Linked DNA regions of Caenorhabditis elegans. The protein of the gene in region 2 purifies or fractionates together with the protein of the main gene of each other region. This does not show direct contact. Each region holds a gene or a part of one and is shown on either strand. Other genes may lie near its edges.

Region 1 (3,753 bases), on a different chromosome or scaffold from region 2:
AAAAGTAACTAGTTGAGCATTGTATGATCTTCGAAGATATTCCTTCGTTGCTCCTCGACCTTCTTCATCCAACGATTCTGTTCGGCCTCGACGCGTCCGAGAACATCTGAAGAAAATACTTTTTTAGTAAAAACTATAAAATCTTCAAATGGAGCACTTACTACTTCTCGCACGTGTGGTTCCTTGTGTATCCATTGAATTACTTGCTGAAGATGATTCATCGTCAGTTGATGGAGCAGCAGCAAAGATATTATCCTCCATTTCATCATTATGTTGTTGATAACTGATCGATAATCGTTTCTTCCGGAGCATTGGATCCAGGCACATAAGGAATACCATGTATCCCGTTAAAACAGCGATCACACAGATTACAAATATTACAACTACTTTTAAGAGCACAGTGTTTCGTGACTCATAACGGCAGTCGCAATTTGCAAGAAATGCATCCATATGGGTCTCGTCAACGAAGTTACTGACTTGATCTTTCACAATGTTGCTTGGCTTGCTGAAATGTTTGAAAAATTATATTTCTTTGTCGAATTTAAGGTTTATTTGTGTAAATGATGAATTTGAGCTGTTGAAAAAAATTAAAAAAATAAGTGTTGAAAATGTTTTAAAACTGATCAACATGTTTTTTTGATGAAATGGAAGGAAAATAAAGACTTAGAAATTCGAGATTTCATGGTTATGATTTATTTTTATTCGAATTTTTACAACGATGTAGATTCTCAGCAATAGAAAATAAAAATAATTGTTTTTCTAAATCATATTTGTGGTTTTCTGAAAGAGAAAAAATTAAAACTGTGACTAAAGTTCCCACAAAAATTTCTCAAATTTTAACGTTTATAAAACAGTCGGAAACGTTCAAATTTCGATGAAAAAAAGAAATTCAAATTTGCAATTGCTTTGAGCGAAATAATACCATAAAGGTGGGAGAATTTCATAACTCTGCCAAGTTATTTTTGATGTGGATTTTTAGCAAAAAATATCAGAGTGACTAGGAGATATTTACATATTCGGATTTGATATTTTATATTTTCTATTAAAACAATTCAGATTTAAAATTAAAAAAACTCACCAATGGCTCGGTTCGATGTTAGTTTTTGTATAAAATCGTCTCCTCAATCCTTCTGTTTTTTCAGTTGTATTTTCAGCCAAGTCGAGAAATTTTAAAAGACTCGGACAAATGCATCGACATCGTGTATCTTCGAAGTTAGCCTGAAAATATTTATTAAATTATATCTTTATAAAAGTAGTTATGAAACAAACCTCAGTCCCTGCTTGGGATAATGCGGGAAGAAACAGTAAAGCAATAAATAAATATATCATTAAATCTGAAAAAATTACGGAAGTTGGACTGTATTTTTTTTTATTTTTGCAAGAAAATAAAAAATGCTCTGAAAAATAGAATACAAGTAAAACAAGAAGTGCGCCAGTGCAACTTACTGGCGCTTTTCGCGATGGCTGACGCATTCTTCGTTTCACTTTTATGATGTTCACAACGAAAATCGAAGAAATAAAAACTTGCACTTATTTTTGTCTTAAATTTCAATTTTTCTTCTGCTTGTTGAGTAATTTTTCAGTTCTCAGTCTAAATTACTTGCTAATTATCTTCATTTCAGTCTGCATGAATACTAATAATCGATTTTTCGCATTTTTTTTGCAATTTCTATCCGGTATTTGTCTTTTTTAATTCATTCGTTACTATTTTCAGTCATGTCAAAAGGTTTTGCTTTCAAACCGTCTGCTTTAGCTGCCAAGGCAGATAAACTGTGGTCAGATAGTAAGTTTTCAATTTTGTGTTATGTTATCTAAGTCACGTGAATTTGCAGGCAAAACAGAATACACAGCAACTCATTCAACAATCAACCACGTTCATTTGGAAAAGAAATCGCTGGGCGATATTATTCCGAAATCAGCAGATGCGCCTGTTGCAAATGAAAAAGTTCGTTGAAACACAATGAGTCAAAAAATTCGTTTTCTTCTAATTATAGGAAGTCGAAGAGGCTCCACAAGCATTTGTTTTTGGCTCCAAAATATCAGATCGTGTTGTGAACAAAGAAGGTGATTCAACAAAGCCGGGTGGTTCAGACGAAAAGACCATGACAGCAACTGAGCTCTTCCAAAATGCAGTTAAAAAAGATGACGATGTAATCTATATTTCGAATCAATATTTCTATTCATAATGTTAATTTCAGAAAAATGGAGCCAAAAACTTCAGAAAGGAAGCTGAACAAGAAGCGGAGAGAGCAAAGGAAGCCGAAAAGCAGCATGCCGGAACGAGTTCAGTCGAAATCACCACCGGGGAAGAGAACGATACTAATATTTTCCAAGTGAGGCAGTATTCATTAAAACATAATTTTTATTTATTTGTCTTTAGGCTCCTTGCAAAATTTGGGCGTTTGATAAATTGAAAAATGCCTACTCTGAAAAGGGTGTCTGCAATCTCAGGATCAACAAACGAGTCGAGAACGGACTGACGCACCACCGAATTGGTAAATACTGATAGTTAGAGTTTATTGTATTCAAAATTATTTTCAGTGGCAAGAACATCTTCCGGTACTCTTCGTGTCATCATAAATTCCAAAATTTTCTCTGATATGCTTTTGGAGCGGGTCGACAAGAGAATTCGAGTGAGCTTTAATGTTATATGAATATATGTTTTATTGTTACTGTTTACAGATTTCCGCAATGGGACCAGAGATCAGCGGTGTTCAGATTTTCCTTCTAAAAATCGGATTCACCAAAACTGAGACGATCCCCGATTCGGATATATTCTACAATATTATGAGCGACCTGCTGAAATTGGAGAAGGGAGAGAATAGTCGGAAGAGGAAAGCGGATTGTGATCTGAACGCTTCAACTGTTAAAATCAAGGATGGAAAGGAAGAAGAAGAAGGTGATCAAGATCAAGTTGATGAAGGATTTGTCATTGTAAACAAGCCAACAGAAGATGAGGTGAAAGAAGAAAAACCAGCTGTTACAGCTGCCGAAGAATCTGCATCCAGCTCAACTCCTTCCGAATAACCATATCAGTCATTGCTTCTTTCAACTTCCCCTGTGCTCTTTTTTCTCCTTCCAATCCCCACAAAAATGGTCTCCAACTTTCACCCAACTCAAATCATTTCCCCTTAAGTCTAATTTCTTTATTGCTAAAAATTTCTTCTAGATTTCTACCAATCTGGCCTAACTTTCCAATTTCGTTTTATTCTTATATATCCCGTTTTATGTGTTTGTCGAATATATTTGGTTTGTGAAAAAGAGAAGAGTTTGCAATAAAAAGCAGAAATACAATCAAGAAGACACTTAGACAATGGCGTTTCGGTTATCAGTGGCGCTCTTACTGAAGGAGGAGGAGAGCGAGATAACGATCGTTGTGGGGTGATCGATTCAGAATTCAATTGGCAACACCATGATCATTTATCACCTTGTCAATTCTGTAGCATTGTTTCAGTAGGAGAAGATTTTTTTGTAGTTAAATATCAATTTTGAGTATAACAAACGCGATTTTTGCACCTAAAATACGGTAGCCGGTCTCGTCACGACAATTTTTAATACTTAAAAAAAAATTGTATCAATTTATTTATAAACTCTAAAATAACACCGAAACACTTCAATTTTTATAAATCTAGAGGAAAAATCGATTCCGCATCAATGAGAGTTTGAAGTTACAGTACTCCTTAAAGGTGCACACACCTTCTTGCATTTAATAAAAAGTTGTCGCGTTGAGACCCGGTACCGGTTTTTTGGCGT
Region 2 (3,753 bases):
AATACGAAAAACTGTATTCATGTTTGAATAGAAAAAAATCTACAGTATGTCTGTAAACATTATTTCAATATTCAGTCAATTCTGGAATAAACAAATTTGCTCTGCTTCTGGAAATGTTTATACAAAGAAAAAGCGTTATTGTCGGCATACAATACGGAATATAAAGGAAAACGGAAAAAGAAAACCGAAGTGCTAAATCGATAGTGATCACATAGGCGGTTTCAGAATAATCCACGTTTTCGTGCAGCAAGTCGTCCATTGTTCTCGAATTTGAACCTTCCTAAATCAGTCCGTGTTCTAATTTCCCGTACCTGGCCACATATGAACACAAATTATATTGGTAGAACATATGGAAACAAGGTACACGTGTAGTTATTGTCCGATAAAATGATAGTTTTATGACTCATAGGAAATTTGAATCTAGGAAGATTCCACGCAAAACTGTTGGTCAGATGCAATTTTTCACGATTTTTCGAAAAGATGTGCGCCTTTATGGAGTACAGTAATCCATTTCGCAATTTTCTTTGAGTTTTTCACTATATTTCTCTCGTTCACAAAGATTTTGATGGATTATATTAAATTTCTCGTTTTTGGGAGAAAAAAGTAAAAATCAAAGGCAATTTCAAAAAAAAAACCGGAAAATGGTTACTGTGCTTCTTAAAGGCGCACACCTTTCCGTCAATTTAAAATATTATGTTCGTGGCGAGATACGGGGCATACCGTATTTCTGCGTGGGAAATTGCAAAATTTTGTCAAAAAAAAATTTCTTCCAAAATAAGTTGAAAACTCTCACTGGACCGGACGTACAAAACTACATGTTTCTCCCAAAACATTGTTAATGTTGTTTCTCATACTCGAGGTTACCTAGGTATTCAAAACATTTGTACTGAAGAAAAAACATTCAGCATTCGGAAGATAAACTATAAGGTCATGTGAGAAAAGAGAAAAAGTATTGGGGATTCTGAATGTTTCCATAAAATGGGTTTTGTACAGCACAAGGAGTTAGGATTAATTTTACAACTTTAATTGAATTTTTAAGCAGTTGTGGATATTTTCAAATTCTTAAGTTTTCTGATTTATACCTTTTACTTATACGGAACTTGCTAGAATTAGCCAGGTGGCTGAAAATTTTGGTACCACCTTATAAGGTCCTAATGCCTAAAAGATAAATGAAGAGTTGCTGAGAGTAATTGGTGTATCAAATTGGGCTATAGAACATATGTTTATTAAAAATTGAACGGTACGGTATTGAATTTTGAAGATAATTTTTTTTCTGAATTTAATATTTTCTTAACATCTTAAATTCGATTTATCAAATTGACATTTTGAATATTCTGAAAGTTAAATATTTAATGGCTATGAGAAAATTATTATTAATTAGTAGATAGAATACGATTGCGTACCGGAAGGACCTTAGCACAAGTGACGTGGTTATCTAACTGGCTAGTTAGATAACCACGTCACTTGCCTAGGTTCCCATGACTTGGAAAGTTCATGACCGGATAAATTTCAGACAGGAAGACGTGCATGTTATTCTAATTAGTCACTGCTGTCAATTATATGATTCAGGTGTTCAAGTATAATGGTGTGAGAAAATATTGCATGTACTTGTAATCAATGCAAGTACATATTATGTTGTACTTGTATAAATTAGAACGAATTCATAGGGAACATAGAGGTGGAATACAGCATTTAATTGTATATTGTATATTTTGCTGACAACTTATGGAACGGCTTTAGAAGGATATCTGCTGTGCATATATCAAAATTCTAATGAAATGACAAAAACTCTAATTTGAACGCCCGCGTTTTGTCGGGTACGAGACTCCGATATCCCGCGTGCGCCCAGTTTAGTCAAGTTTTTGCTCGGTGTTTTTTTCTTATCATCAACTTTGCAAATAAGTTTTTCCCCTTTATTTTTTACGATTTCAACGATTTTTAGTTCGAAAAATGTGCGAAAATTATTATTGCAATCTTAATAATCTTCTTACTTGCCGAATTCGTCAGAATTTGCCCATTGAACGCTGATTTTTCGAGTTGGACAGTCTTTTATTCCAAATCGATGTTTTTCATAGCTTTTAATTGCAGTAATGTTCCGTCACGTGGCTCAAAATTTGGGCTCAAGAAACACATCCATTCAGTCATGTGAGTTTGAGCAATTATTAGTTTTGATATTCAATATCTGTTTTCCAGACCGGTTGCTGCGTACTCGATGGGAGCGAGGATACCTGAAGGACCTTTACCATCGCCGACAGATTCTTGGAGCTGATCCAGCAATTTCCCGATCTTCATACCCAAACTGGTAAGTTTTTTCTCAGAAAAATGTCATACAAAAGCCGTTTCCCATTTCCCACTGTATTGACTCACTGTGCTGCTAATTGCAATTGAAAATCGCTTGAAACTCAAGCGGTTTAAGTATTTTCTTAACCCATCTCAGTTCTGTGCAAGTACGTAATCATCATTGCTCTGCTGACAAGTCAACTCTTCAATGGGCTCCTATCAAGACTTCCATCGACAACTCTTCGGACGATTTTGCTGCTAACACTGCTGAAATGAAGGTTCTCGTGGAAGATTTGAAAGCAAAAATATCTAAAATCGAGCAAGCTGGAGGAGAAAAAGCCGTGAAATTACACCGCAGTCGTGGAAAAATGCTTGCAAGAGAAAGAATTGACGGCATTGTCGATGCTGGATCACCATTCATAGAGTTTAGTCAACTTGCTGGATACGAGGTAAACGATATTCGTATCCGATTTGAAATTGACTGTTTCTTTTCAGATGTATGGAAAAGAGGAAGTCCCATCTGGTGGAATTCTCACTGGAGTTGGAATAGTTTCTGGTCGTGTTTGTGTCATTGTAGCGAACGATGCGACTGTCAAGGGAGGAACATACTATCCTATCACCGTAAAAAAGCATCTTCGTGCACAAGAAATCGCCCGCGAAAACAAATTGCCTTGTATCTATCTCGTAGATTCTGGTGGCGCAAATCTTCCACGCCAAGCAGATATCTTTGCCGACAGCCAGCATTTCGGAAGAATTTTTTACAACCAAGCAACAATGAGCAGCGAAGGAATTCCACAATTGGCTGTAGTTATGGGAAGTTGTACAGCAGGAGGAGCTTACGTTCCAGCTATGTCTGATCAAGCCATTATTGTCAAAGGAACCGGAACTGTTTTCCTTGGAGGACCACCACTTGTGAAAGCTGCAACTGGAGAAGAGATCTCTGCCGAGGAACTTGGTGGAGCTGATCTTCACTGTGGAGAATCGGGTGTTACTGATTATTATGCCCATAATGATAAACATGCTTTGTACTTGGCAAGAAGTTGTATCGCGGGACTACCACCAGTCGAGGAGCATATGACCTTCAATCCAAACGGTATTACAATAGTAAAATATTCATGTTTCTAATTCTCATTCTTCAAAATTTTCAGCTGATGAGCCTTTGTATCCAGCTGAGGAAATTTACGGAATCGTGGGATCTAATCTCAAAAAGACATACGACGTCCGCGAGGTTATCGCTAGAATTGTCGATGGCTCTCGATTCCACGAATTCAAGGAGAGATATGGAGAGACGCTTGTGACCGGATTTGCTACTATTTATGGGCAGCGTGTAGGAATTCTAGCTAATAATGGTGTTCTGTTTGCTGAAAGTGCCATGAAAGGTTCTCATTTTATTGAGCTGTGTTGTCAACGGAAGATTCCTCTTCTTTTCCTTCAAAATATCACTGGATTCATGGTATGATTCGACAATTTTTC

Evidence for each region.
Region 1: the proteins of mrpl-44 (region 2) and ran-5 fractionate together in Caenorhabditis elegans (co-fractionation; one large-scale study listed by BioGRID). This does not show direct contact.

Annotation. Positions count from the first base shown.
Region 1 is NC_003280.10:6,046,395-6,050,147, forward strand, and holds ran-5 (RanBD1 domain-containing protein), read left to right. Parts: upstream 1-1,714; 5' UTR 1,715-1,716; coding exon 1,717-1,783; intron 1,784-1,832; coding exon 1,833-1,945; intron 1,946-1,994; coding exon 1,995-2,150; intron 2,151-2,198; coding exon 2,199-2,333; intron 2,334-2,380; coding exon 2,381-2,495; intron 2,496-2,541; coding exon 2,542-2,633; intron 2,634-2,682; coding exon 2,683-3,027; 3' UTR 3,028-3,292; downstream 3,293-3,753. Other genes in the region: R12C12.6 (Transmembrane protein 9), read right to left, coding at 9-106, 162-505, 1,079-1,218, 1,270-1,473.
Region 2 is NC_003281.10:9,087,711-9,091,463, reverse strand, and holds the start of mrpl-44 (Large ribosomal subunit protein mL44), read left to right. Parts: upstream 1-2,088; 5' UTR 2,089-2,090; coding exon 2,091-2,145; intron 2,146-2,193; coding exon 2,194-2,302; intron 2,303-2,437; coding exon of another isoform or gene 2,438-2,729; intron 2,730-2,775; coding exon of another isoform or gene 2,776-3,373; intron 3,374-3,428; coding exon of another isoform or gene 3,429-3,733; intron 3,734-3,753. Other genes in the region: mccc-2 (putative methylcrotonoyl-CoA carboxylase beta chain, mitochondrial), read left to right, coding at 2,091-2,145, 2,194-2,302, 2,438-2,729, 2,776-3,373, 3,429-3,733. UniProt on the Caenorhabditis elegans protein: Component of the mitochondrial ribosome. May have a function in the assembly/stability of nascent mitochondrial polypeptides exiting the ribosome.